Arabidopsis thaliana: one gene and its partners. The protein of the gene in region 4 interacts with the protein of the main gene of each other region in a pairwise test. Each region holds a gene or a part of one and is shown on either strand. Other genes may lie near its edges. The genes, in order: DAZ1, AT1G19490, AT1G77250 and AT1G70030.

Region 1 (6,534 bases), on a different chromosome or scaffold from region 4:
ACGAAATTTAGTGTGACGACGAGCCTCGATTCCACGGTGGAGTCTTTCAAAGAGTTAATTGCGCAGAACAGCGATGTGCCGGCAAATCAGCAGCGTTTGATTTACAAGGGACGTATCCTCAAAGACGATCAGACTCTCCTCAGCTATGGTAATTTTCTGATCATTTCGTGTTTCATTTCTGTTGTTCCGTTGCTTTAATTTGACTGAAAATCTCATAGGGTTTCTAGGGGGTTGGAACATTGGATTTATGTTAGGTTTTTACAGAAGCATGGATGATTTTATGAGTTTTGATGTATGCTTAATCCTTCTATGGGAAGAATAAGGAGATGTAGTTAGTGATACGATAATTGATTCATACCATTCTTAGAGTTCCTAATGTTCTCATGATCATGTATCTTCTTGGGATGTATATTTTCTCCATCAATGGCTGTTGTTGATATGATTGTGTTGGATAGTTTCCACGTTTTATTGTTTTGCATCATGAGCCTCAATGTTTCCTTTCTCTGTGGACCATTTTATATATAGGTTTGCAGGCTGATCACACCGTTCATATGGTTCGAGGTTTTGTGCCTTCTTCTCCTTCTGCTCCCGCTGCAAATGCTGGAAACCAAACCACTGCTCCTCAAGCGGTTGGTTCAAATGATAGCTCAAACCTCGGAGGAGGTGAATCTTTGTTCCCTGGCCTTGGATTTAATCCTTTGGGTGGTGGAAATGCTATGGCTGGATTATTTGGATCTGGTCTTCCTGATCTTGAGCAGGCACAGCAACAACTAGCTCAGAACCCTAACATGATTAGAGAGATGATGAATACTCCAGCCATCCAGAATCTTATGAACAACCCAGAATTTATGAGGAGTATGATTATGAATAACCCTCAAATGCGTGAGCTTGTAGATCGCAATCCTGAGCTTGGTCATGTGCTCAATGACCCAAGCATCCTTCGTCAAACTCTAGAAGCGGCGAGAAACCCAGAGCTTATGCGTGAAATGATGAGAAATACTGATAGGGCTATGAGTAATATTGAGTCTATGCCTGAGGGATTTAACATGCTTAGGCGTATGTATGAAAATGTCCAGGAACCGTTAATGAATGCTACCACTATGTCCGAGAATGCTGGAAACAATACGAGCTCTAATCCATTTGCTGCTCTTCTGGGAAACCAGGGGGTTACTACACAAGGAAGCGATACTTCTAATAATATTTCGGCACCGAATGCTGAAACGGGTACACCTAATGCAAATCCACTTCCTAATCCTTGGGGTGCCACGGCTGGTAAGAAACTGTATTCTCATCCTCTTAATTTCATATGGGATTTTACTTGTAGTTTAAGGTTGAAATATTAAATATAAAAGCAAGAGTGGCTTGTTTTTAAGAAGTGAAAGTTTATGTTTACCACACTGGTCAGGAATAGTATTGATTATAGTAATAATTGGTGAGTTCATGTTCTCACAGTTTGTTGTTATGACTAGTTTGTCTATGAATAAGTTTCTTGGCTGTTTGTTTCTAGTTTAACTGTTACTCGTAATGCACTAAAGATTTTAGAACATATTGTGGGGCTACTTGACAGGCCAGACAACTGCCCCTGGAAGGACAAATGCTGGACTTGGTGGTCTTGGTGGGCTTGGAGGCCTTGGTGGACTCGGTATGCTGGGAGCGGACTCACCTCTTGGTGCGACTCCAGATGCTTCTCAATTGAGCCAAATACTGCAAAACCCCGCTATGTCGCAGATGATGCAAAGCGTACTTTCCAATCCACAGTACATGAATCAGGTAGCGCCTTCAGTAATCTGAATTTTAGACATTGTAGCTATTGTGAGGCTGTCTTTAATATTTTAATATTTCCTTCATTTCCAGCTTATGAGTCTTAACCCACAACTCCGAAGCATGCTAGATATGAATCCTCAGTTGAGGGAAATGATGCAGAACCCTGATTTCCTTCGCCAGTTTAGCTCTCCCGAGATGATGCAGGTTAGTTGGGCCCATGTTGTCTCTCCAGATAATTATTTTTATATCATTCAGTAGTCAAATTTCTCCGACCTAATGTTTTCTATTGTTTTTTGGTCTTTTTAGCAAATGATGTCTCTACAACAATCACTTTTCTCTCAGAATAGGAACACGGCTGGCCAGTAAGTTTGGATACCCTTTTCTGTTTTCTTTAGTTGGAACATTAGTTGAGTAGGTAATGTCCTTTATATATCATAATAGGATTTTGGGTTGATCTGTGTTTAGAAAATAGTGTCACTAGCTAACCAGGTAATTCTCTCGGTGGTGAACTATCTTATATTAAGTAATAAATGGGTTGAATCATTAGTAATGCAGCAACTCTTGTATGTTTTACTGGGCTGATCATTAGTGACCTTTATCAACGGCTGTAAAGTATTTTAGTCCTTGAAATAAACTTGAATAGGAGCATAAAAATTTTCGTTCTTTTTTGGTTCTTTCCTTTAACATTTGATATCAGTGATCTTGATTTCCATCAACCTCTATTCATGTTCCCAATCCATCTTCTTTGTAGGGATCCTACGCAAACTGGTGCTGCGACAGGTACTATATTATCTGTAATTGAAGTATGAAGGCTTCAACTAGTTCACTTAGACAGTGTGCTTTTTTTTGTTCTTTTGCTTTACTTTAATCGTATATTCATTACGTTGCTTATTGAGTAAATCACTACTATGGAAATATTTATAGGGACAGCCAATAACGGAGGACTAGATTTATTGATGAATATGTTTGGCAGCCTTGGTGCTGGCGGCCTAAGTGGCACAAACCAACCCAATGGTTAGATTCACTAGGGGCTATACTTTGATTTCTTATATATCTATTGAGATGGTTCCACTGAAACATGTCTATTTGATTCCAGTTCCTCCTGAAGAGCGATTTGCGACTCAGTTGCAACAGTTGCAAGAAATGGGATTCTACGACAGAGCAGAGAACATAAGGGCTTTGCTTGCAACCAATGGTAACGTTAACGCTGCTGTAGAACGACTCTTGGGGAGTATTGGCCAGTAACATACAGGTTCGTGAACTGATATCACTCCACTCTGGCTTCTCAATTATAGAATAAACAATGTGTTTTCTTTCAGTAATCTAATTTATGGAATTCGTATAACTACATTTATGATAGGATCGCGAACTTGTGGATAGAAAAGCCGCTCATCGATACACTATTTGTTTTCAATGGTCATCTTCTTTCCTCTTTACCCAATCCCCACAACCTTTTTTACATACTTTGGGTCGTCTGTTATCTTTCAGATTCTATTTGAAGTTGTTACCTCGTACATCTGTAGAAGTTGATTTCGAAATGTGGAATGGTTACATTTACGTTTTCTTATCTCCATTTTACTTATTAAATATAGCTGTAGTGACGTTGATAATTTGTGATTGAGCGTTAAGTTTTTCATTCGAATAACAAAGATAAATACAATAATAATTGAAAGAAAAACAAAACTTATGAGGAAAACAAAAAAAGAAATGTAAATCCGACAAAACAGGGAGAAGTAACTGCTAAGAAACCGTCGATGAAAACTAACTTGTTCTTCTTCTACTTAACCAACCATAACTCCCACTCTTCTACTTTTTTTTTTCCTCTCTTTTAGTTTTTCTGTCTTCTCTCTAGTAAGAGACTCAATAATAATGTCGAACACTTCAAACTCCGATCCCAATTCCGATATCCCATTTGCTTCCTCCAATGTAACTCTTCCTAGTTACAATCAAAACCCAAGAAGAAAACGTACTAAACTCACCAACAACGAAGTCGGTTCTTCTTCGTCTTCTCCAAGGCCTAAACCGGTCACGCAACCGGACCCTGATGCTTCACAAATCGCACGACCATGTACTGAATGTGGTAAACAATTCGGGTCACTGAAGGCACTCTTTGGACACATGAGATGTCACCCTGAACGTCAGTGGCGTGGCATCAACCCTCCTTCTAACTTCAAACGTAGGATCAACTCAAACGCTGCGTCATCATCCTCGAGTTGGGATCCATCTGAGGAAGAGCATAACATAGCCTCCTGTTTACTAATGATGGCTAATGGTGATGTCCCAACCCGTTCAAGTGAAGTTGAGGAACGGTTTGAGTGTGATGGTTGTAAGAAAGTGTTTGGGTCACATCAAGCGTTAGGCGGACATAGAGCAACACATAAAGACGTCAAAGGATGTTTCGCCAATAAAAACATAACCGAAGATCCTCCTCCTCCACCTCCTCAAGAGATCGTTGATCAAGATAAGGGCAAGAGTGTGAAGTTGGTCTCGGGGATGAATCATCGATGTAACATCTGTTCTAGAGTGTTCTCCAGTGGTCAAGCGTTAGGAGGTCACATGAGATGTCATTGGGAGAAAGATCAGGAAGAGAACCAAGTCAGGGGCATTGATCTTAATGTTCCTGCGGCGACATCTTCAGACACAACGTTAGGTTGTTCCTTGGATCTTAGGTTAGGACTTTGATATATGATAACTTAAGGTTTTATATATTTATTGGGTATTTGGTTCTTTCTCTTAATTAACAAAAAACTCTCTCTGTATATATGTGTGATACTTTGTATGATGAACGTATAGGATTGTGGTATTGTATTCTATATATAAGTTAATTAGTTTATGAAATGCAAATAGAGTTATTTACTAAATGTCCAATATTCAAGAAATTAGCTTTATGAAGTTTAAAACGTTGAATCTTTTTCCCTATGTAAAAAGTTTATATTGTTTGATCATACATGTATATGTATCATGCATGGATTATGGTGTTTCTTCACAGTGTCAGTACACTAAGTGAGAAAATCAAGATTCTTCTTCCCTAAAAATGTTGCTTCGAGAAGAGTTACTTTGTTGAAGCTATTAGCAGATTCAGGGTGGAAGTTGTTGTTGACTCGAAGATGATGCCACATCGTGCTGCTTTGTTACTTCATGCATTTCAGAAGATGAAATCTACAAGCAAAAAGATTTGGTTTTATAACATGAATGCGAAAAATCTTCAGGGATGAAATTATTGTAACAGTAAGCCTCCTTACTTCTTTTTTAGCCTGCAAGGCTTTAAGTGTTGCAACAAGCTTTTTAGTGATGCCATTCTCTATATAACCCTTCCACTGCAAACATTCAGAGGCGAGTTTTAAAACTATAGTAGCTTCTTCTGTAGAGAACTTTCCCTTCAGATTTGGATCCATGAGCTCAGTGACATCCTTTCCATTGATCATCTCAGGAGCCTAGAAACAGAGGATAAATAACCACTCAGTAAAATGTAACTTGTGTTGCAAGAAACCAAGGATTCCACAAAGTCAAGCTTGAACAGAATTACTTACATGGCTCGGAGAAATTTGCAATCCAGTTAGCAGATTCACAAGGATAGTACCAAATCTGTATGTCACATTCCCAGTCCTCACGTTCCCTACAATGAGAATATAAAACATTACATTCTGATATGAATAGTCTGAAGATACAAGAGCGAATTGGTTACCTCCTTCTCTTCGATTGTAACGGATGATCTCTTTCACCAAGCCGAAACTAGAAAGACAGGCATCACCATCCTTCAACACCAGTAAAAACAGTTTAGCATCCTTAGATCACATGACAAGGCATAGGCATGAAAAATGTTGTTTAACATACCTTATCAAACAGAACAGTGTAAGCACTTAGATTATCGTACTCGTCAAAACGTACAGAATTGCAATAATCCAATGCTTCAACTATATGATACGCCACTCGCAACCTCATTGACCATTCCATGTTCTTCTCTGTGCATCACAAAAGAAAAAAGAAACCTCAAACAGAGAATGCTAATAAGTTCTGTTTCAATCAATTCTACAAGCAGATACATTTACACCATTCTATAGCATGTCACATAAACCAACAACAATGCACTCTCTCTATCTTCAGATACGTTTATACCATTCTACACCCACAATCATGCCACAAAAACCAACAATGCAGCCTCTCTGCCAAGATTCAAAACAGAGCACATACATCTATAGAACAGATCGACTAACAATCCAGACTCTTAAGCTCATATTCACCAATTCTATATCTGAAAACGAAAGAAGAGAAGGAATCATACCCTGGAATAAACGCTTAGCAAGAGTATCATTTGGCATAAACTCTGCAACAAGAAGTCCTTCATCTTCCTCGCAGCAATATCCCAACAACTTGACAAGTCTCTTGTGCTTTAGCTCCCCAGCTGTTTTTGCGTCTTCCTGAAGAAACAAAAGAGATCAAATGAACGTTGCAAACTTTGATAACCTTTAAAAGCAAAGAAAAGGTACCGTGAAGTAGTCAGGATCATCCCAAGGCGTATTCTTGAATCTCTTGACAGCTACGAAGCCAAGATTCTCTAATAAACAACCTTTGTAGACAACATTGGAAGATTCTTCTGCGTTCTCTGATATGATCTCGTCGGAACTGAAGTTATTGGTCGCCGTGGTGATATCGGAGAGGAAGAACTCTGTGACAGGCCAGTTGACGAATCCGTCGTTCTTGCGTTCGCCGGGAGGAATCTGTGGCTGTTGTGGAGGTTGTTGATTGTTATCAAGAGGCGTCGAGAAGCAA
Region 2 (8,208 bases), about 20 Mb from region 4:
GTTTGTCCACTCTTTTTTTCTATGAATACCAATGTCTTTAACTTTTCTTTTGAGTTTTTAATGATTCCTTTACGTTATTATGTTAAAACCAAAGATGATTCTACTACGTACCCTGCAAGTCATAGGCTCAACAAATAACCATTAAACGCTTAAACCCTATAATTTAAAGAGGTTACTAATTTTAAACTTCATAAGAACACATACGAGCGTTAATTAACGGTTGACTTCTCGACATTCTTCATACAATACGACACTATGCTCTGAAAACCCTTATGGACCTTAAAAAATGTAGACCCATAAAAAGAACTATAATTCTTTATTTTGGTATACAAACTAAAAAAATATTGGATAAACACTACAACTTGCGGAATCTCTCAACTCTCTTTTCCTCCATATAAGGAGCCTATTTTGGCATTCGTTTGTATTCGTAACTTAGTATCGATCCCTTTTCTTTCTCTTTTCTTGTTTCCCTATATATATCTCATATATTCCCAAAAGAATTTAAATAAAATGGCCTCTAGTTCTATGAGCTCGAGCTCTTCTTGGACGTCTAAGCAAAACAAGATGTTCGAGAGGGCTTTAGCCGTTTACGATAAAGACACTCCCGACCGTTGGCAAAACGTGGCTAAAGCAGTTGGAAGTAAATCTGCAGAGGAAGTTAAACGTCACTACGACATCCTCGTTGAAGATCTCATGAACATCGAACAAGACTTAGTACCTTTGCCTAAATACAAAACCGTCGATGTTGGAAGTAAATCTAGAGGCATCGATGATTTTGATTTGAGGTGAAATCTTTTTGTCCTTACCAAATCTTTTAGAGTTTGTGGTCGTTTTTGTGATTTCTATAGTGATTTAGTAGAAACATATGTTTAGTTCAAATAATTTCAAAATCTGATTATATAAATGAGTTCTTTTGGTAGTAGTATATTAAAACTAGTGATGAACGTTGGACTATATAATAATAATAATATAGGTATAATAATAAGAAACATGCAACCACACGCACCATCCCTTCTATTTCCGGCATTCTCATTAAAAGGAAAGGAGTCACATGAAATCTAATCCTGTTTGTGCACCATCACATGCACATTGTCCTCAACTTTTGAATCTTATATGAATGATATAATGTTATATATGTATATATCTAGCTAATTCTATATTATTCGAATACGATTAAATATAACGGTATATATTAATGCAAAAGTGATTCTGATTTTTCACTGGTCGGTGATCAACAAAAGTGGTATCTTAGTGTCAAGTTATATTAATTAATCTATTGTTTTTTGACAGGTTAATGAAGAATATGAGAATCCAGTGAAGTTGTTACATGATGTGAAGATTGCTATATGTCTAAGGATTCAAAGGGATATGTTTTCTTCTTTCTTATACTGATGAGTGTATCATTCCCTTTTCATTGTGTTTCTTATTTGCTCTGTTTAATCTTATTTCACAACAAATCATCTAGCTATTTTGGTTTTGTTTATTTATAATTCTAATCTATTTTTGTCAAATTCTTATTTTTTTAATTTGTCTATGGACGGGGATTTATCATTATACAGTATAGTTGGTTCACATCTATTCCACCTAGTAAAACAACTGATTTCCATTTCGTAATCTCAATTTCCAAAACTTGTTGAAAATGAGAGTATTTTTACCATTAAAAACGTATACATTGTACCATGATTGAAATCCCAAATGCAAAGACTTGAATATTCCCCTGCAAAATCCTCCAACCAATCATCAGCTGGTTAGCATCTCGATCTAGAGCTTTGATAAATATTTTAACAATCACTTTTGTTTATAAAATAAACTAAAGCTTAAACATCACATGTAATTGCATACATTTATAACGTTTTAAATTTCTTAGAGATAAAGCATTTATAATAAAGTTTAAAAGAAACGAATATCACCAATTCACTATATGGACCCAAAAAAAAAATGAAATCGAAAACCATAAAACTGTTGCTTAATTTGGAACTGGCATGAAACTAAAGCCATCTCACGTCGTACTATTTTCGGCGTAACCACTACCAACGTTGGATCGTTCCACCAGTAAATAAAACCAAATTTTAAATCTCCTTCACATATAAATAAGGAACTTCAAATTAAACCAAACGAAACACGAAAAACACGTACGTAAACAAATAGACTTTTGTTTCTTACAAGCTTAAGACAAATTTACGAGCTACCTCTAGTTATTAAATCATTCTTGTTTTTATAAACCAATAAAAGAAGAAGAAGCAAAAAAGTTTGCCGGAGATAGGATGGCGAAAATATCGGTGGCCGTGCTGTTGTCGGTAATGCTACTTGTCTCGATAAACTCGGTGGATATCTTGGCCGAGGAAGAACCAACGGTTGGGCAGAGGGTAGACTCCGCCATGACGAGTGTCACCGATGCATTCAATGAACACGGCGGCCCACAAGCCGTCGACACCGTATCATCCACCTTCAAATCCGTTTACGGATGGTTCGGTGATAAAGCCAAGTATGTCTACGATTCTTTTGAATATTTTTAATCTTTTTGGTACAAAAATCACTTTTACTATCCCGTAACTTTAATTTTTAGTTCCTACGATACAACACCACAACACAAAAACTGAATCTAAATTCGATATATAGTAACATGATAATTCATACAAAACACCACAGAAACCCATGGCGTTATAAATCTATTTGATGATACCATGATTTCTGTATCTATTTAATAGTAATTTGCCTAGGTTAAACATTAAATTTTTATGATTTTATCAACTGTAAGCACCAATTTTGTTTTAATAATCAATTTCCATAATCCCTCCTTAATATATGATTTGTTATCTTTCTTCAGGGAATGGGGAATCCACTTCTAAAAGGAGGAATGCACAAAATTCTTTTAAGTTGTGGTGTGTTTAATACCAAAAGAGGTCCCAAATCGACTTATGTGTAACTGATTATATTTATTTAATCTTCAATGCATATATATGTAAACGGTAACCCAATCTCTTAAACAAAATGCATTAGCTTGATTATTCCTCTTATCATACCGCATAATTCTCAAGAAATATATGTGCGACAACGTTTAGTTTCACAAGGATGTGGCCATTATCATACATTACTAGGCCCATTTCTATATCCGTTAACATCTATACCAATGTGGCAATGTTCTAAAACTTGCTCTAGAGACTAGGCGGCCATAAACTGTGACAATTATCTATCATGCATGAGCTCTCCAACTAATAAAACCGTAAATCACTATCACAACTATGATTGCGACGGGCCAGTTGTTATTAACCGGCCAATTACCTGGCCCATTTATATGTCCAACAAAGAGGTCTAGAACCAAAATGATTGTGTGTTGGTGGATGCACCCAAAAACCTCAGCCGTAATTATTCACCACTGAATCTCATGGCTCAGACGTCGCCACGTAAATATCCAATAAAACCACCACACGTGTCGCAATCTGAGCAACTCTCAAAACCGACCTTGCAAATCTTAAACTCTGCGCCTCTTCCCAGTTCTGAGGTCGCGGCGGTCCCAATTCTCGGCTTCGCACGCACGAATCAACTCCGCACGTGCCGAGTATGCTGACTTGGTAACAAAAAGCGAGACGTGGCGGTCACAGATACATGGGCTATACTTAAGCAACCAATTGTAGACGATGAGCTGGCATTACACGTGTCGCTCTCTCACCCTCTGTGGGCTCCTCTTTGGCAATTTTTTTCCCACTCTCTCTCTTTCTCGAGAGAAGTTACAGTTTTTCTCTCTCTCTCTCTATAACCTTTTTTTTTTTCTCTTCTGGTTACGTTTTTTTTTTCTTTGTTGGGAAAATCTTTTGGGTTTTGAATTTTTTTTGGTTTGTCGATGGAGTTGGAGCCTATATCATCGAGTTGTTGCTCGTCGTCTTCTTCTTCTTCTGGGGAGGAGAATACTGCGGCGGCGAACATGACGGAGATGGAGGCGGCAGAAGCATTGGCGGATTTAGCGCAGCTTGCGATAATGCGAGAGCAGGTTTTCGAATCTGCAGCGAGTTGGGGAAGTAAAGGGAAACGGGTGAGGAAGCGAGTCAAGACTGAGTCTCCTCCTTCTGACTCGCTTTTGAAACCACCTGACTCTGATACGTTACCTACTCCGGATCTAGCTGAGGTTCTGTCTCTTCGCTTTCCCTATTTTTTTTATTAGTCTGTTTTTTCAAAGAACCTCACTTTCATTGATTCTGTTTTTAGAATTGTGAAACTTTTATGTTTTAGATCCAAATAATCGATTTTGAATAGATAGAAATAGTGATTGCACTGATTAGGTGAATAACATGTTACAATTAGTAAGCTACTGGTAAAACAATCTGATGATAATAAAAGATGTTTCTAAAACAGGAACGATTAGTGAAAGAAGAAGAGGAAGAAGAAGAAGTTGAACCAATAACTAAAGAACTAACTAAAGCTCCGGTTAAATCTGAAATCAATGGTGAAACACCTAAACCAATTCTTGCTTCGACTCTAATAAGGTGTAGTAGATCAAATGGTTGTGGCCGATCAAGACAGAATTTAAGTGAGGTATATGATTATTACAAGGCCAAAAGTTTTGTCTACCATATTTCTTTTTTTGTGACACTTGAACTTACTTTTGCTAATACTAATCTCTAGGCTGAAAGAGAAGAACGTAGAATCAGAAGGATATTAGCTAATAGAGAATCTGCGAGGCAGACAATTCGGCGAAGACAGGTATTGTTTACTGATGCCTTGTTTCTATCAACAAGGTCCATATTGGGAAAATTAGCTGAATAGTAGACTAGTGTTGTTAAGTATTAATTATACCGTATATATCCAGGCAATGTGTGAGGAGTTGAGTAAAAAAGCAGCTGATCTGACATATGAGAATGAGAATTTGAGGAGGGTGAGTAAACTATTCGATTTACGTTTCCATCGAGTGAACCTTAGAGACCGTTGTTATAGCTAATGACATTTCTGCTGTGGTAGGAAAAGGATTGGGCTTTGAAAGAGTTTCAGTCTTTGGAGACGATTAACAAGCATTTAAAGGAACAGGTTACACAATCTATCAAAGACCATATCAGTATCAGGAGCACTATTGCTCACACTGCTATATCTGATTTACCGTCTGTTTTAATAGGTATTGAAGTCAGTAAAACCCGATACAAAAGAGCCTGAAGAATCACCCAAGCCATCACAAGTTGAGATGTCTACATCATCTACTCCGTTTTACTTCTACAACCAGAATCCATATCAGCTTTTCTGCTGGCCTCATGTTACTCAATCATCAAATCCAATGATATCGCCACTTGAATTCCCTACTTCGGGAGGAGCTTCTGCTAAAACTATTACCACGCAGGAGCATGAAAATGCTGCAGATGATAATGGGCAAAAAACTCACTTTTACGTTGTACCTTGCCCTTGGTTTCTCCCTCCTCCTGATCACAGCAATGGTGTTCCTTTCGGGCTTCAAGATACACAAAGAGGTACTTTTTCAAACGGGCACCATATCGATGATTCTTCTGCAAGACCGATGGATGTCACAGAAACTCCGCGGTCCCATCTACCAACTAGAATCAAAGAAGAGGACTCTGGTTCACCCGAAACCAGACCTTTATATGATCTCAACGAATCTGCTACTGAAGTCCTCTCAGAAGGAGGAGATGGATTTCCTGTAACGCAGCAAGCTTATAGTTTAAAGCATGAAGATGTTTCTGAGACAACTAATGGAGTTACACTGATGCCGCCTGGTCATCATGTTTTGATTTCTCTACCGGAGAAAAAGCATGGATCGTTGGCTGCAGCGGAAGCTAGAAAGAGACGGAAAGAACTCACAAGGCTCAAGAACCTCCATGGCCGTCAATGTCGGATGCAGGTCGGATAACTCATATATTCTTCATCTTACCAGTTAAAACACTGAAGGTACTTCATGATCCCTTTCTTTTTGTCCGGGGCATTTTCGCATTGTTTCGGCTTTCTTACATAAACACCAAAACAAAGAGTCATACTCATCCACCAAACAAAAGTTGGATTATTGTTATACTTATCCAAGATTAGTATTCGGGAGTTTCTGGTTTTGTTTTTACAAGGTAATAGCAAATGTTGTACCATTGTAAGATTTAGGGTTATTTGGCACAAAGTTAAAAGTGCCATTTTGTAAGATCATCCGGAATCTGTTTGCTTCTCGCTTGAAGTTCCGTTCCGGTCTTGATCAGTTCTATAACATATTTTCAGGGTTTGTTCCCTTTTTTGACCGCAGAATCAAAAAGTTCTTCAATTGAATCAGTTTCTTGCAAATAATCTTCTTTTAATACAAAATCCTACGTTAATTTTCTTTTTGGAATAAACACTTGAAGATGTTATATAAGTGTATTGTTACAAGGGACTTAATTGTTATCTCCGAGGTTTCCAATCTGAGGTTGGAGCAATCTCTTGACACCGAACAATCCCGGCGGCTCCACCATAACATAACCATCTCTCACTTCCTTTATTCATGTTCCACCGCACACGATGCATCGCCACCATTTTAGGCGGGAACCCTTCTGCTTTCATTCCATTGCTATTGTTGCTAGCTGCTTTTCTTCTTCCTTCTTCTTCTCCGCCATCTTCTTTGACACAGACCAGTGCTCTGCTGTTCTCGTCCTCCTCTGCTCTTGCGTTGTTCTTTCCTTTTTTAGCCTTTGATTTTGCTGCTTTGTTATTTGTTCCTTCGGATTCAGACTCTAAACCTGGATCCTCAACGTGTGCAAAAGCTGAAAAGATCAAGTAAACCAGTTCAAGGTAAGGACTAAGTGATTCCGGAGATTGATCTATTAGACAGTCTAATTTAGACTGGTTTCAACTGACCTAGAGGCTGAACATCTGAAACGTTAGATGCATATCGGCTAGGAGATTCGTTCAAGAGACTTCGAAGGCATCTCTGTTTTTCACCGGTCTCACCAACTGGTTTCTTCAATACGATCGGGATGTCTGGAACTGGACTATGCACTATGAAGGTGGAATCTTTCATTGTCAACTGTCCACAGAGATAGTGTGGAGTCCGATTTCTCGTGTCTTTTTCCACTGCTTTGGTCGTAAGCTGTAAGGAATCCCAACAAGACAAAATGAAATCTCAAAGAAATTGACAAAGAACATAAGAGGTGAAGTAATTGTGCAGTTTATGCAAACCTCGAAATGGAAAATGGACCCATCTGCAGTGCAATACGCTGCTATGCCTGAGAAGTTATATTTTGACTTATTTATTATGATGAACCGATGATTACGAATTTGAACACAAAGACAAGCCCATAAAGAACATTTACCTGTTAGCCTTGATACTTGAATACTCCAGATGGGAAAAGTTGAACAGTTATAAACGCTTAACCCTTGCTGTTTTGTATTAGGATAAGGCCTTCCAGTAGCAGGAACATCATACGCAACCTTCACCAAGCTTAGGATTCTTAATGTTCCATCATCAAAGGACAATAGAACGCAGCTACAGATATTTGAAACCACATGTTTAAGCAGGACTTCAAACCATTGATCTAAAGACTGTATAATCAACTGAGGATAGAACAGTGATTGATACCTTGGATCTTGTAACCAATCAAGGCTGTAAATAAACCTTGGTACTGGGTGCAAATCCCACAGAGGACGGAACGGATCACTGCAGAAAAAACATAGGAAGTAAGCAAGAAGCTATGGAGAGCCAAATAAAAGAATAAACAGTGCAGTCTTGTTAATTAATTGCATGAGCATCAAAGTTTAAAGAAAATTATGTAATAGCTGATAAGGTTAATGAAGTGTACCGTAAGTCCCAAAACTTCAGACCAGCATGTCCAGCAGTTGCTACTATGTTTGCACTTTCCTGATCACTGGAAAACTTTCAGAAATTACTTTTGATTAATAAGCGAATCCTCTTCACAGTTTGATTTTATGGGTGTGATTTTACGTCACTACCTTTCACCAGGAGCCCATGCAACTGCCCTAATAGGAGCTGTATCTGCGCTGAAGAAAAGTAAAGGTCTTGTATCTGCACAAAAAAACGTGAAAGGTAAATATGAAATCAACAGATGAAATCACTTTCTCTGGCCACCGTGTGAAAAGAAACTATCTGGCATCAGGACAAACATATCAGGTCTTACCTTCTGAAGATTTGGTTGTAGAAAACTTCCAGAGAGCAACCTGATGCAAGATAACAAAAATAAAGGGGTCAACGCAATTAAGCACTGCAATTCTTGTTCCTGAATACATTTACACATATGC
Region 3 (8,904 bases), 2.6 Mb from region 4:
TCGCCGGCGTCTGCAGCGTCTGCTTCATCAATTCCTCGCCGTCTCTCTGAAAGAAAAAAAGGAACCACCTTTCTCTCTCTGTTTTGCTCGATCTGTTGTAATTTACTCTGTAGCGATCATCAGATCGCCGGCGTTTTAAACCGCCATGAAACTCTCCGACGTTGGATTAGACGTTGTCAAAACTCCGAGATTGGTTAAATTGATTGCGTTTGCGTTTCTCTCAATCTCAACAATTTTTCTCTTCAATCACTTCTCAGATTCCTTCTCTTATCCATCTCTTCCTTTTCCCATCTCCTCTTCTTCAAACGTCACCGAAGCTATTCAAACCAACATAACATCCGTCGCGGCGGTGGCACCATCTCCTCCACCGCGTCCTCGTCTCAAAATATCACCTCCTCCGCTTCCACCGACAGTGGTGAGAACAGGTATCATCAACGAGAATGGTGCCATGTCTGATTCCTTCGAAATCGGCGGATTCGATCCAGATTCCATCGACGAGCTTAAATCAGCCACCGGAAATTCGTCGGTTGAGGAAAAAGAATCGCCGGAAGTCGGTTTTCAGATTGAGAAACTCAAATTGTGTGACAAGACGAAGATAGATTACATTCCTTGCTTAGACAACGAAGAAGAGATAAAGAGATTGAACAATACAGATCGAGGAGAAAATTACGAGAGACATTGTCCTAAACAGAGCTTAGATTGCTTGATTCCACCTCCAGATGGTTATAAGAAACCAATCCAATGGCCACAGAGCAGAGACAAGGTGAAATAGTGTGATCAAGTTCTTACCTTTATCTAAGCCTTAAGTGTAAAGTCACTAACTTTGATTTGTGCTTTGTAGATATGGTTCAATAATGTGCCTCATACACGTTTAGTGGAAGATAAAGGAGGTCAAAATTGGATTAGAAGAGAGAAAGATAAGTTTGTTTTCCCTGGAGGTGGAACTCAATTCATCCATGGAGCTGATCAGTACTTAGACCAGATCTCCCAGGTTTGTTTTTTGATTCTTCCTACCTGTTTTTTTGGTGTATTGGCTAATCTGTTTTTTTTTGTGTTGATCTTATATTCTCTTAGATTGAAATTTGCAGATGATTCCTGATATTACATTTGGATCACGCACCCGTGTTGCTTTGGACATTGGCTGTGGTGTGGCGAGCTTTGGTGCGTTTTTGATGCAGCGTAACACGACAACCTTGTCTGTAGCACCAAAAGATGTTCATGAGAATCAGATACAGTTTGCATTGGAGCGTGGTGTTCCTGCGATGGTGGCTGTCTTTGCCACACGGAGGTTGTTGTATCCAAGCCAGTCTTTTGAGATGATTCATTGTTCCAGATGCAGAATTAATTGGACACGCGATGGTTAATTTCTGGCTTTTTGCTTCTCCTCTAATGTTATTTGAGCTTTAGCATAGTAAGTGACTACAGCATTTTGTTTCTATGAATTACACAGATGGGATACTTCTTCTTGAAGTTAATAGAATGCTTAGAGCAGGAGGCTACTTTGTTTGGGCTGCACAACCCGTTTACAAACATGAGGATAACTTGCAAGAGCAGTGGAAAGGTTTGTATATTATTCAACAAAATAATTTGTCTGCTATGGAGTTTAACTAAAATATGGGTGTTGCTTCTGCGCTTTGATTATCTTTTTCAGAAATGTTAGACCTTACGAATCGAATCTGTTGGGAGCTTATCAAGAAAGAGGGATATATTGCTGTGTGGAGGAAGCCTCTAAACAACAGCTGCTATGTCAGTCGCGAAGCTGGAACAAAACCTCCTTTGTGCAGACCTGATGATGATCCTGATGATGTTTGGTACATATATGCATCTGAAAATCTAGTTTCTTTTTAATAGTTTTGAGCCTTCTTGCATAGACATTATATGATAGAACCACCAAATTCTCAGCTTTTCAATTAAAACTTTCTAAAAATCTCAACTTTGTGGTTATGGTTTCCTGTTCCAGGTATGTAGATATGAAACCGTGCATCACCCGATTACCTGATAATGGCTATGGGGCTAATGTCTCCACATGGCCTGCACGTCTTCATGATCCGCCAGAGAGGCTACAAAGCATTCAAATGGATGCGTACATATCCCGAAAGGAAATTATGAAGGCAGAGTCTAGATTTTGGTTAGAAGTAGTAGAGAGTTATGTGCGGGTTTTCCGCTGGAAGGAGTTCAAACTGAGGAATGTTCTGGACATGAGAGCTGGTTTTGGAGGGTAACCATCAATCACACCCTTTTTTTGTTTCTGCCTTACCAAAGTTTATTTGATCTAGTATTTCTTGATTTTGGTAGGTTTGCAGCAGCATTAAACGATCTGGGGCTTGACTGTTGGGTTATGAACATTGTTCCCGTTAGCGGATTCAACACCTTGCCAGTTATTTATGACCGTGGACTACAAGGGGCTATGCACGACTGGTACAGACTGATAACCTTCTGCTCTTTTGCTTCTAATCCCACATAACTTTAACTTACACAAGATCACATTTAAAGCTTTTTTCACTTACTTCCTCTAGGTGTGAGCCATTTGACACCTACCCAAGAACCTATGATCTGATACATGCTGCATTTCTCTTCTCTGTTGAGAAAAAGAGGTAAAAAGATTTAAACTTCGTTTTTCTTTTTATCCTGAATCCAAAAATAAAGGTCAGGAACTTGATTGGGGTAATGAATTGTGGAACATAGGTGCAACATAACAAACATTATGCTGGAGATGGACCGGATGTTGAGACCAGGAGGACATGTTTACATAAGGGATTCACTGTCTTTGATGGACCAACTTCAGCAAGTGGCTAAAGCCATCGGTTGGACTGCTGGTGTTCATGATACCGGGGAAGGACCCCACGCAAGCGTTAGGATTCTCATCTGCGATAAACGGATATGAGGAAAAGAAAAAGAAAAGATACGAAATCGAATGTGATGATAAGTCTGCTCAAAGCGACAGTTCTTCTTAGTGATAAATTGATAATTGTATTATTGTTTATTTGTTTGTTGATTTGATTGTTGAAGAATGAAGAGTGTTAATACACTTGAGCTACTTTAACACATGAGTAACAAAAAGATTCATTTTCTCAGACAAAAAAAAACAGAGAGAAGTGTGAAATAAAGAAACAGAGAATGGTGGGTGTCTTTCAGTTATAACCGTTGGATTGCTAAAGTTGAGATCCGACGGTTGTGACTCTTTGATCAGGGAATAACTAAAAGCACGTGCACATCACGAATCTGTTACTGTGGTGGACTCCGTCACCGTGAGTCTCCGGCGCGGTTTTTATTACTACTTCCACGTGTCAGTTTCGCGTCACTGATTACCGGTTTTGACCGGTTTCAGATCCAAGTTGAAAAATATACCGGTTAAGGGACGCGGAAGTTTAAAAATGATTCAAAGATAAGAAAGGCCGGGATTTACAGAACCACCGGCGAGTCTTAATCTCCGAGAGCCGGTAAATCAATCCTCTTCCTCAAATTTCTAGGGTTTGCTCTTCGTCGGTTCTTTACGCAGATTTCTTCACACTGGTACGGTTTTACTCTCTTTTTCCCTCTTGTCGGTTTTTTCGCTAGAGGTTTGAATTTGGATTTAGCTTTGTTCCGTCTTTTGTAGTGTCTAGATAAAGCTCCATTGAAGTTTCCGTATCTAGAAATTCGTTGTTTTCTGATGAAATTATGGTAGAGAAGTCTTCAATTTCATCGCTTTTTGTTGGAATGATATTGTTTTTTCTAATTTCTAGATGGTTTATTTGGTGATAAAATCGAAGACATTTTGATAGTTTGTTACCAATGGTCAACATTTCCATATGAGATTTCGTTTGTGGGTTATATAAGGACTCAAGTTTCTGTTTTGTCTATTGTAGGATGGAAGATTGGTGAAACCCTAGCTCCACTGTGTGAGGATCAAAACATTTGTTTAAGATGTTCATGGAGGAGGCGACAAGTAATGGTAAAGGTACAGAGCATAATCAGCCAAATGGTTTGGTGGAAAGTGAAGCATTGAATAATTGGAGTGCAGGATGTGGTGCTATGGCTAATTCTGCAAATGCTAGTTCCAGAGATAGTAAGAAGATACAAACATATAAGCGGAGAAAACTTGGGAGATCTTATTCTGCTAATAAATGTTCGGAAAATGATAGATTTTCCATGGAAGGTGTTAGTCACTCAGAAAGCCGGGTACTTTTCATGCCTTTTTCTATTATGGTACCACCTCTTGTTGTGATTGGTTTTAAAATGCTGGAGTATATGTAGTTGCTAGCATTTTGCAACTTTCGCTCACCTCAGTTGTTATATGTTTTGTGAATTTAGTTTATTGGTTTATTTTAGAGCCTTGGCTAAGTAATGTATATTAGGATCTCTATAAATCTAGTGATGGTTGGGTAGTTGCTTCAATAGTGAATATTGGGCCTCAATTACTCAGCATGTTGCTGAGGGAGCTAAAGAGAAGGGTCATTTCTGCTTATATTCGTATGGCTATTCAAGTAACAATTTTGCGATTATATATCTGTTCCCTTCATTTTGTTCAGGCTACATTGGTGTCTAGTGTGTGATAGCTATGTTTCAGGAAACGCTTTGCAAATAGTAGTAAAATCCATATGTGCTGTTAATACTGTGCTTATTGAAAACCTGACTAGAGTTTGCTAAATCATGCATTCATTCCTGAACTTCGTCTCAGGTTATATTTGTGTGATCAACTCATGTGTTCATGATTTACTTTCATGAATATGCTCCTAAAACATGTTAGCTCTTTCTTGTTTTGGATTAATTTTTTCATTAAATTTCTTCACAGGAGTCTGTCTCTTATGAAAGGTTTAGCATAAGAACCCATCTTACTGGTGAACTCCCGAAGCCTCCCAGTCCAAATAAACCATCAAGTGAATCCACCAATCATGAGACGGTGACAGCCGGTTGCCAGCATGTTCTGTCCCATGTTTTAGCTTCAAAGGAGTTTGCATCCCTAAATAGGTTACTTTCCGAAAATCTTCAAGGGGTCAAGATTGATGATTTTACGAGCAGAACTCTGATAGACACCAGGATGAAAGAGGGTGTTTATGAAGGTTCACCTCTGCTCTTTTCAACGGATCTCCAAGAGGTAATTAGTGGAAATCATGCTTAGTCTAAGATAAATATGCATGAAAACAGATTATCATGTCTTTCTTATTCTTTTCATTGTGAAAAATATAGTCTGATGCCGTAGTTCGGAAGCTGAACACAAACTCTTAGCTTGACGAATGTGGTTGTGTTTTCAGTACATATTATGCATTAGATTGAAGGTAGACATAGAACTAAACCTAACTACTGATTTCAGGTCTGGCAAAAAATGCAGGATGTTGGTAATGATATGGCTGTTCTTGCTAATAGTCTCTTAGAGCTTTCAAGAACCTCCTATAAGGAACAGGTGAGGGTCAGGCATAAATGATCTTCTTCAAGGTGCTATCTTATTATAACTTTATCCATCAATCCTCTAATATCTTCTTTATTTCAAAATCTGGAAGTTGAAGCAGTTCTACACTGGGGAATCGAAGCCTTGTCCTAATGCAGAGAACATCAGAAATGACAGTGTTTCTGACATTTGCAAGCTATGTGGAGAGAAGGCAGAGGCAAGAGACTGTTTAGCATGTGATCATTGTGAAGATATGTACCATGTCTCGTGTGCACAACCTGGTGGGAAAGGGATGCCAACACACAGTTGGTATTGTCTAGACTGTACATCTAAGGGAATCGGATCACCTCATGAGAATTGTGTAGTGTGTGAAAAAATGAAAACCCAAGGGATGATGAAGACAGATAACAGATCTGTTGATACGAGTACAGAATGCAAAGAGGATTCGAACGAATCTGAAGAGAATTCAAGCTGTAACATGAATCATGAGGTGCACCACGTAGAGATGAGTAGAGATTCTGAACTCTGTAGGACCTGTGGAACAAAGGTGGATAGTGGCGGAAAGTATATAACATGTGATCACCCTTTTTGCCCACACAAGTATTACCACATCAGGTGCTTGACTTCAAGGCAAATAAAACTACACGGTGTCCGTTGGTATTGCTCGTCATGCTTATGCAGAAATTGCCTAACTGACAAGGATGATGATAAAATCGTCTTGTGTGATGGGTGTGATGATGCATATCACATCTATTGCATGCGACCTCCATGTGAATCGGTTCCAAATGGAGAATGGTTTTGCACAGCATGTAAAGCTGCAATTCTTAAAGTCCAAAAAGCACGAAAGGCTTTTGAGAAGAAGATGGAGACGGTGCAGAAACAGAAAGGAATAAAACCCAAGAATCTCCAAGGCAAACCGCAAAGTAAAGACAATGGAGAATTGGATCAAAGCGTAGGAGGAATGGACATGCTTCTAAACGCAGCTGACACACTGAAAGATGAAGAACAGATGACATTCCAATCCATCAAATGAAGGATTGGATTGATAAGCAAACAAGCAAAATACAGCTTCTTGTCTCATCTACCTAACTTTCAACACTTTAATATTTGATTCTTCTCCACAAATTTGTTTTCGTTTGGTTGCTAACTTTTGAAAGCAAGACAAAGGATTCTGAAGGGTAAACCTTCTTCTAAGAGTAAATTCTTTTCATCAACAGTGCCCTTTTGATCTGCTGATTTTGCACTTTGTTTAACATTATAATGAACTGATTCTTGACCAAAGAGATGATGCTTCATCGGATAATTTTCTTATAAATTTAATCTATTCTACAATATCTTACGAGTAAAAACTCAAACAACAACAAAAAAAAGCTTAATGAGTATTATTGTTACGAGGCCGACCAACCATAGACCGTAAGGGTATATATAACATGTGATTAATTCATCGAACAAGATAAGATTTTAACTAAAATATTTACAGTAGTTAAATAACATAAGATTTCACTTATTACTATTAGATGTTCAAATCAATCAAAATAAATCTCTCAATCTTTCTTGTTTTGGGGGCAAACAATCGATCAATCTTTTTCTATAATCGGTATTATCCACTTCAATAGATGGTTCAATACTTAGATAATTGAAAAAAATGACCGTTGAGCCCAAAAAAAGAAAAAAGTATTAGCCAAGAAGCCTAAGCTAATTAGTTGTTGAGCCCAAAAAAAGAGAAATGTATTACCCAAGCAGCCTAAGTTCAAAATAAAATATTTCAAGTTAATGATTTCTGTTCTACCTAAGCACATCGGGAAAAATATATAATTCATTTCACCAATGCACCATCAGAAGTTGAAAACATAACAAAAGAAAAAATCAATACATTCGACTATGGAACTTTTACTCCCACACGCTTCAAACTCATGTCCTCTCACTGTTCTTGGCTTCTTAGAACGAGCCGCCTCTGTCTTCGGCGACTCTCCTTCACTCCTCCACACAACCACTGTTCATACTTGGTCTGAAACTCATTCTCGATGTCTCCGTATAGCTTCAACTCTCTCTTCCGCTTCCCTCGGAATCAACCGCGGCCAAGTTGTCTCTGTTATTGGTCCAAACGTCCCATCTGTCTACGAGCTTCAGTTCGCAGTTCCGATGTCAGGCGCAGTCCTCAACAACATCAACCCACGTTTAGACGCTCATGCACTCTCCGTCCTTCTACGTCACAGCGAATCCAAGCTCGTGTTTGTTGACCATCACTCAAGCTCTTTAGTCCTCGAAGCTGTCTCGTTTTTGCCCAAGGATGAGAGACCTCGTCTCGTCATACTCAACGACGGAAACGACATGCCATCATCTTCATCAGCTGATATGGATTTTCTTGACACGTACGAAGGGTTTATGGAGAGAGGAGACCTGAGGTTCAAGTGGGTACGTCCTAAAAGCGAGTGGACTCCAATGGTGCTTAACTACACCTCAGGAACTACGTCGTCCCCAAAGGGAGTGGTGCATAGCCACAGATCGGTTTTCATGAGCACTATTAACTCTTTGCTAGACTGGTCTTTGCCTAACCGTCCGGTATACCTGTGGACACTGCCGATGTTCCATGCCAATGGTTGGAGCTACACATGGGCCACAGCAGCTGTGGGAGCCAGAAACATCTGTGTCACAAGAGTTGATGTGCCGACTATTTTCAACTTGATCGACAAGTATCAAGTGACCCACATGTGCGCTGCGCCAATGGTTCTCAACATGTTGACTAATCACCCAGCCCAGAAACCGCTTCAGAGCCCAGTTAAGGTTATGACTGCTGGAGCTCCACCACCAGCTACAGTCATCTCCAAGGCTGAGGCGCTTGGTTTCGACGTGAGTCACGGTTACGGGATGACAGAAACAGGCGGTCTGGTTGTCTCGTGCGCATTGAAGCCTGAGTGGGATCGTCTAGAACCAGACGAGAGAGCAAAACAGAAATCAAGGCAAGGAATTAGAACTGCAGTATTCGCGGAAGTCGATGTTAGAGACCCAATATCCGGGAAGAGCGTGAAGCATGATGGAGCAACTGTGGGAGAGATCGTCTTCAGAGGCGGTTCGGTCATGCTAGGTTATTACAAAGACCCAGAAGGCACCGCAGCAAGTATGAGAGAAGACGGATGGTTCTACACCGGAGACATTGGAGTAATGCACCCAGACGGTTACTTGGAAGTCAAAGACAGATCAAAGGATGTGGTCATTTGCGGAGGAGAGAACATCAGCAGCACGGAACTCGAGGCAGTTCTGTACACAAACCCCGCAATTAAGGAAGCAGCTGTGGTGGCTAAGCCAGACAAGATGTGGGGAGAAACTCCATGTGCATTTGTCAGCCTGAAGTATCATGACGGGTCTGTGACTGAGAGAGAGATACGGGAGTTTTGTAAAACCAAGCTGCCAAAGTATATGGTTCCAAGGAATGTGGTTTTCCTGGAAGAGCTTCCAAAGACTTCTACTGGAAAGATTCAAAAGTTTCTTCTCAGACAAATGGCTAAGTCCTTGCCTTGATGAAGAACGTTCTTGCT
Region 4 (7,128 bases):
TTTTTTAGTATTTTTAAAATCAAAAACGAAATATGTGAAGAAGATTCTTCTTTATCTAAATTTTGTTCAAAATTATTATTTAAAAAAAAGTTTGTTCTCACGGATTTTCGTTTTTGTTTTAATTATGTAATATAGGTTTTGGTTTTCTTTTTTATCCACGATTTCCTTTTTGATTTTATAATTCTGTTGAAAAATAATTTGGTTTTGCTGATTTGTCAAAATTTTATTGGTGGAGTGACTTGTGCTTTAAAATATAAAAGATTTGTTTTATTTTTTATTTTTTGTTTTAATTTGATTACAATTAATCATTAAGGTTATTTCGTCTTTTTACCAAAGATATGGCTTACTACAGTTTTTGAAACCAAACGTGTGTCATTTAAGTTATTTATGTTAAGAGTTGAGTCAATCTAAGCAAATCTTACTAAAAAAATTTATTGCCATAAATACAAAATAAAAATCTGGGAACAACAATGAATATGAGAAATTTGTTCATCGGTAAAACCTATGTAACTGCAGCGCGTACATTAGAAATCATGGATCTCAAGAACATATCATAGAACCTACGTATAAATTACAATAAGCGTCGATCTCAATAACATTTCATAGAACCATAAGTTTACTTTATTAATTTATATTGTACGGATAATTCGAAATTACTTTTCATAAGAGTAAAGGCATTCCAAAACCTGAAAAAAAAAAACAGTTTTTAGGTCCTTTAAAAGAATTTATAAGTAAGAATTTATAAGTATATCTTATTGTAAAGCACGCGAATATCTTTCTCTTGGAGTTTAATTCGACATACATTACTTAAAAAGTATATACACTATATACATATTCATGTACGTGTGGTGTGTGAGGGAAAGAAAGATAATTAATATATATGTTGGGATACGAGATCAAGTACGAGAAAAGATTAAGGTGTTGATTAGTTGCTTCTAATTGTCATCTTCATGACTAGACCATACTTTGGTATACACAACTGGTTACTTTTAGTTTGAGATGCGGCGGTACGAAAAAAATTAAACAAATTAATGTGTGTTTCAAAATATTAATTATAGAATTCAACACTGTTTTCTTAGTTGATCTCTCTAATGCTACAAAATATTCTGAAGATTATAATATAAGGTGCTACTAAATTATCCATGGTATGATTCGTATATCCAACATTTTTTCTGTATTATTTAGAATTTTTAACAATTAATACTTTCTCCCTAAACAAAGTTTATAAAAATTTCACTCAAGTTTCACTATTGAACGAATTGGTAAACAAAAATAAATGTTTTGGCTATTTAAAAAAAAAAATTGGTGCGGTAAAGAATGGTAAAATTGTAGCGAGGTGATAATAGAAAGTTGTTAAGAAACATCTCAAATTACAGCATCTTGGCCGATAATAAAACTAATATACTATGTTTGATCATCATATGATTTATTTTTCGTTCTAGCCTGCTTCTTTGATTCGTAGCCAAACAAGCTGGAGCACTCCCAAAGTCCCGAGTCTTAACGTTTTATGGCCCATTAACGATCTAAAGCCCAACATAAAGAACCTATTTCTATCCTTTGAGAAGTTTTCTCTGTCCGACGATTCATAGCCAATTAACGCTAAGATTACTATTTGATTTAATCTAAAATATCTTTAGCGAAAAGAAAGTTATTTACCAAAATCTAAAAATTTATATGTAATTATCGAAATCTTTTTAAAAAATTTGATATGTAATTATCGAAATCTTCTTATAAGAACAATATACCAACTCTTTTCTTTAATAACCCTAACAAAAAAAAGATACATAAATCTGGTGCATATACACATCTCTCTATCCGTCTCTCTCTGGGTTTCAATGGATTATGAAAACGGAGAAATAATAGCTCCTAAATCCACCACTTTATGGGATAGACTTACACCACGACAAAAAAAGTATGTGTTCACGTGTGTCTTGGTTTTTTTGATCGCTATCGCAACCGCTGCAATTATCGTTTATGCCTACTCTGAATCAGCACAAGAACGACGTGAAAAACGGCGTAAAGAACAACGTATAGAAAACTATGCACCGGATATTATAATACCATCTATGGATTTCACAGTCCTTAATTTAACCGAGACTAGTCTTAGTGTTAAATGGGATTTAGTGATCAGGCTTCCTTCAGATCTTCCTGGTTACTATATGTGTCTCAAAGGAGATTTGCAGACTTTCATACTTTACAAAGGTGTTACCATTGCTAATTCATCCTTAGACAGGTTACACTTTTTAAAAATTTCAATACTCTTTTTTTTTTTTTTTCTTTAACTAATTTCGTTTGTTCATATATTTTTGTTTGAACTTTTTTGTGTTATGCTCTATCAGTTACAATCTGATACCAAATTGGCCTCAGCTGCTTAATACCTCATCGGTAATTGCTTCTGAGGGAGATATGGACAGTGTTGTTGTGAAAGACATTATGGACGATATAAAGGAAAGAAGAGACATGCGGTTCGGATCGAGGTTGCTTCTTCCGGATTGTAGATCTGGGAGGAAGATGAACTATACGTGTGATGAAACTGCGGTTCGGTTTGAGCCTGGCTCTCAAAGGAAGGCAACTGCGTTTGAAAACGCCGCTCCTATATGCCACTATATTCACACTTAAGTAAAATTTTCATCAATAATGATTTTTATGTTTTAGTTTGCATATGTTGGATCTTCTTCTTTTGCCTTTTGATATCGTAGGAAAGAACTTAAACAACACAATGCGCTTTTGTTTTTTTTTCCTTTGGCTTCAATGGAATATACTTTGTTCTAATGTATTATTATTTTCGTTAATAATTATACTCTCATAGTAAGATACTATTTTTTAAAAAGATTCTATTTAAACATATGGTACTACATCAATATCATAAGTTAATCATTACATCAACTTAAAAAATTTATTTAGTTAGTCTGTTTAACGTACCGAACCGATAATTAAATTTCGAAATCAAATCTACCGATTGGTTTGTATCTAATAACCAAACTAGAACCGATTTGCACAAACTTCGGTTTGGACTTATCAATTTTGTTTTTAATCTGAAGGCCTACTTTTTTCTTTCTATAAATATTGGATAAGACTCATAAAAGTAGTATTTGGTATATTAAGAAAAAGAGTAAAAAATCCATATAAAGGAGAGAAAATCGAATCGTTATGTTAACAAAAAGATTATGTTTAACGTACGTGATATTAAGTATCTTTATATGACTCATGTAGTTATTTATAAACCTAAAACCTTACGACTTTCTTTGTGTCAATTGTCAAGTCTTTTGTATCTTCCTGTAAGCCTGTTACGTGTGAGGTAACGTGTCCATCAATACTTGTGTCCTAGCGAACTTTGATCGATCCTCTTCACTTTGATCCTATCTTGTTTCTATACTGAAATTCTTAGATCAAAATATAGTGTGACATAATCTGAGGAGTAAGTTAGATTCAAATCTTCTGGTCGATAGCTGTAAATTCCCTTGCAATGTTTTCTATGACTCTAATTGCTAGATCTGCGCTGGTTGTATGAATTTTTGGGATAATTTCGATTATTTTTCTTTGAACTTATATATCTTGAATTCGTTTATTGAGATTTAAGACTTGTATTGATTTTCAAAGTTGTTTATATTGGGAGTCGAACATTAATCTATTTTCTCTTCCTCTGGATAATGAAGCACTTGCCAGTTGTCAGTTTCAAAACCATGGTTGCAAATAAGAAGCTAACTACAACCGATGCACTTGATTTCCTCCATCTTGTAAAAACTAAATATCAAGATAATCGTGAAATATATGATAGTTTTCTTACGATCATGAAGGATTTCAGAGGTCAGAGGTATTTTTTTTCTTCTTCTTCCCTCATAATAGTTTCAGCTCTTAGTTATATAAAGTTTTGGTAAACTGTTTTTTTTTTTTTTTACTAATTGTAGAGCTAAAACATGTGACGTCATATCAAAAGTGAAAGAACTCTTCAAAGGGCAACCAGAGCTTCTCTTAGGTTTCAACACATTCTTGCCAACGGGGTTTGAAATAACACTCAGTGATGACGAACTTACGTCAAATTCGAAGTTTGCTCACTTTGACGAAGCATATGAATTTGTCAACAAGGTCAAGGTAGTTGGGCAAAATCATACTAGTAATTAGAGTTTGATTATGATTATTTTGATCCAAAAGATCTAAAATCTAAATAAAAAACAGGTTTAGTCATTTAAATTTAGAGAGATGAATAAACTTGTTTAGATTTTAGTGTTAAAATTTAGGATATCAGATTTATCGTTTTAATTAAGGGTTAGTTTCGGTGTAAATATTTCGGTTTATATCATTTGTATTCTCTATTGCTGTTTATTTTGCAGCCCTACTAGAAATTATATTACTCTTTTCTGTACAATTTTTTTTTTTACTTTTCTCTTAAATATCATTTTTTCTGTAGACAAGATTTCAGAACAATGATGTATTCAACTCATTTTTAGAGGTTTTGAAAACGCATAAAAAGGAAAACAAGAGCGTTGCTGAGCTCTACCAGGAGGTGTATATATATATATGTTTCACTACCTTTTCTTTTTCCATCTTTCTTGTATTGGATTTAATGTAATGTATTATTTTGTAGGTGGCTATCCTTTTTCAAGGCCATCGAGACTTGCTTGAGGAATTTCATCTCTTTCTTCCACATTATGGATGAAGAATGATGAATTATGTATACAATGAAGCCATGCAAGTTGTGGTTCAAAGCCACTTTATCTGCTTCCATTTGACTCAATGGGGATTATCATTAGTTTGTTGCTGAACTGGTAAAACTAGTACTCAATTTTTCAAGTTGTTTTATACTATTTAAACTGAATATTATGGATAATACACAAATTATTTATCAATTTACTTAAGACAATATAATTATGCTTAGTGAGAATGTACCAAACCTTTTTTTTTGGGTTAAAGGTTGCTGCACTAATTAAAAGAACAAACGGCGAATTACAAATTCTCAAATAAACGACAACAAACCCGACACGGTACAAGAAGATAATTTGAACCAAACCATACAAACAAAAGAATATTGCCTAGGTGTTGAGGTGGCTCAACTGTGGAAGCCAAAGCTCTATCAGATGCAATGCTAACAAGAGAGAAGTCGAATGCAGGGAAGAAGCTATCAGATTTTAAAATCCAAGCTGATGCGTTTACTCATTTCATCTTTAATTGTGAGTTATTAATTTTGAAAACCAGACTTTTTTTGTAGGATAAAGAACTTTTACAACTTTTTTTCTATAACCCTTTTAATATATGGTTTTTATTTTACTTTATTTGTCTAAATTTCTTTTCTAATACAGTTACAAACTTTTATATTTTTATCTTAAATATTTCAAAACTTTTAGATTTTATACATGGTGAAATCTGATGATTTAATTGATATTTGTTGCAATCACGAGAGTTAGCAAGTTTGAGATTATTGTTTTGAAATAAGATATGGAGGATAAATTTATTTTAAAAAAGAGAGAGAAAAATGAAAAAATAAGAAAATACTTAATTATTGTTTTGAAATACTTTAATTAATTAAAAACAACTATATCTTTAACTAAATTTTAATAACATATCATATAATTAAGTATAGGTTAAAGTTCATTTTCTTAAAAATTATCTTTCCTTAACAACTATATCTTTATTAAACTGTCTCATCTTCCTTTTGCACTCCAAAATAGTTTCCTCGTTTCTCTTCAATCAATCACTTAGAATGGCAGACGAAGAACTATCTATAGGAGTGCGGATCTTCGTTTCTTTTCTCATAGCCTTTGGTATTTGTGGTCTGGTTTTGTTGATGATAAAAGACAATTCTGGCAAAATCCCGGTGCCGAAAATAGAGTTAGCTTCAATGGATTTCACGGTGCAAAATATTACAATGACTCGTCTTAATGCAAAATGGGATTTGTCGATAAGGATCCCTGATGATCTTCCTGGTAAGTATATATGTCTTCAAGGAGACCTTGAAGCTTCCTTGCTTTACAAGAATGTCACTCTTGCTACCTCATCCCCACAAAAGTAATGAATCTATTTCCTACTATTTTTTAAACCCGTTTTAAATTCCTTAATTCGTTCGTATTTTCAAAACTAATTGAATCTTGTATATGATCAGATACTACAATCTCAAATACTTCAATCCTCAGCTTCTTAAGATTTCAGCTAATGTTTCCGAAGTAGATATTGGCGGTTTGATTGGAAAAAATATTATTAACGATGTCAAAGAGAGGAAAGAAGTACACTTCGGATCGCGATTTTCTCTCACGGATTGTAGAGAAAAAACGACAGGAGTTATGAGTTATGAGTGTGACGAAGCCACCTTGCGGTTCGAGCCAAGCTCTGAGATGAAGGCGACAATGTTTGGGGACCATCCAAACTGCATCAATGTTTGACCAAAGTCCATGTCATCACCATGCCAGTTCATTGTTATATTTTGGCGTCAATGTTAATTTGACTCGGAGAGTGGGGAAACATAAACGAGAGAAGTTGGGTCGTGTAGGTACATAATGGGCCGACAATAACAAACGCTAAAACTAAAATGTGTGAAAATGCCAATATTTGGGCCCAAAAGATAAGAAAACTGGAAAGGAAGTAAAAGTGTACGTAGGATTAATTAAAAAGATAGTGTAAAACAAAGGGGGCATTCGGAGAATTGAACTCCGGACCTCTCGCACCCTAAGCGAGAATCATACCACTAGACCAAATGCCCAATTTGATTGAAGCTTCACTTTGTTGTTAGATAACCATATTCTATGTCACCAAAAATTATCCACATCTACATAGTCATCTTAAGTTTACCTACCTATCAAAATTCAAAAGAGTATTAGCAAAGTCCGACTGACAAACTAAATTTGAACCGACACGAGAGAAATGATTTTTTCATTGGAATTATTTGATTCTTAGAAGTTGAAAACTTACTTTAAACTAGAAAAATTACAAATCACAAAACCACCTTAAAGAACCAAACGACTTAAATGATCCATAATCATATCTACGATCTACCAATATAGCCTATACATGAAATAAAACAGTTCAATAAATAAATAAAACAAAACTGGCAAAATGCTTTCTAGATCATAAAAAGCCTCGAATTTACTAATTGTAGCACATGACATTGATAGTTAAATTCTCCTAACATTCCTATTA

The links.
Region 1: the proteins of AT1G70030 (region 4) and DAZ1 interact in a two-hybrid assay, tested with the Arabidopsis thaliana proteins (one large-scale study listed by BioGRID).
Region 2: the proteins of AT1G70030 (region 4) and AT1G19490 interact in a two-hybrid assay, tested with the Arabidopsis thaliana proteins (one large-scale study listed by BioGRID).
Region 3: the proteins of AT1G70030 (region 4) and AT1G77250 interact in a two-hybrid assay, tested with the Arabidopsis thaliana proteins (one large-scale study listed by BioGRID).

What each region holds. Positions count from the first base shown.
Region 1 is NC_003071.7:7,474,747-7,481,280, reverse strand, and holds DAZ1 (C2H2-like zinc finger protein), read left to right. Parts: upstream 1-3,597; 5' UTR 3,598-3,633; coding exon 3,634-4,446; 3' UTR 4,447-4,619; downstream 4,620-6,534. Other genes in the region: AT2G17190 (ubiquitin family protein), read left to right, coding at 1-148, 526-1,272, 1,568-1,770, 1,855-1,968, 2,071-2,126, 2,516-2,544, 2,689-2,778, 2,861-3,009; AT2G17170 (Protein kinase superfamily protein), read right to left, coding at 4,843-4,923, 5,007-5,198, 5,295-5,380, 5,450-5,519, 5,599-5,726, 6,047-6,182, 6,252-6,534. UniProt on the Arabidopsis thaliana protein: Mediates the regulation of male germ cell division by DUO1.
Region 2 is NC_003070.9:6,749,593-6,757,800, reverse strand, and holds AT1G19490 (Basic-leucine zipper (bZIP) transcription factor family protein), read left to right. Parts: upstream 1-3,727; 5' UTR 3,728-3,841; coding exon 3,842-4,123; intron 4,124-4,350; coding exon 4,351-4,530; intron 4,531-4,620; coding exon 4,621-4,698; intron 4,699-4,804; coding exon 4,805-4,870; intron 4,871-4,953; coding exon 4,954-5,019; intron 5,020-5,104; coding exon 5,105-5,848; 3' UTR 5,849-6,257; downstream 6,258-8,208. Other genes in the region: RL5 (RAD-like 5), read left to right, coding at 511-785, 1,291-1,318; AT1G19500 (uncharacterized protein), read left to right, coding at 2,265-2,485, 2,828-2,849; AT1G19485 (Transducin/WD40 repeat-like superfamily protein), read right to left, coding at 6,358-6,716, 6,811-7,042, 7,132-7,178, 7,266-7,438, 7,532-7,609, 7,752-7,817, 7,903-7,975, 8,088-8,127.
Region 3 is NC_003070.9:29,017,941-29,026,844, reverse strand, and holds AT1G77250 (RING/FYVE/PHD-type zinc finger family protein), read left to right. Parts: upstream 1-3,370; 5' UTR 3,371-3,513; intron 3,514-3,848; 5' UTR 3,849-3,906; coding exon 3,907-4,161; intron 4,162-4,774; coding exon 4,775-5,077; intron 5,078-5,293; coding exon 5,294-5,383; intron 5,384-5,480; coding exon 5,481-6,401; 3' UTR 6,402-6,669; downstream 6,670-8,904. Other genes in the region: AT1G77260 (S-adenosyl-L-methionine-dependent methyltransferases superfamily protein), read left to right, coding at 146-763, 842-991, 1,089-1,359, 1,451-1,561, 1,652-1,811, 1,961-2,218, 2,296-2,418, 2,517-2,594 and 1 more; AAE2 (AMP-dependent synthetase and ligase family protein), read left to right, coding at 7,250-8,887.
Region 4 is NC_003070.9:26,375,535-26,382,662, forward strand, and holds AT1G70030 (Paired amphipathic helix (PAH2) superfamily protein), read left to right. Parts: upstream 1-3,106; 5' UTR 3,107-3,298; intron 3,299-3,321; exon of another isoform or gene 3,322-3,650; coding exon of another isoform or gene 3,651-3,683; coding exon 3,684-3,814; intron 3,815-3,908; coding exon 3,909-4,092; coding exon of another isoform or gene 4,093-4,122; exon of another isoform or gene 4,123-4,130; intron 4,131-4,408; coding exon 4,409-4,504; intron 4,505-4,585; coding exon 4,586-4,657; 3' UTR 4,658-4,845; downstream 4,846-7,128. Other genes in the region: AT1G70020 (transmembrane protein, putative (DUF1163)), read left to right, coding at 1,836-2,233, 2,340-2,619; AT1G70040 (transmembrane protein, putative (DUF1163)), read left to right, coding at 5,699-6,003, 6,098-6,374.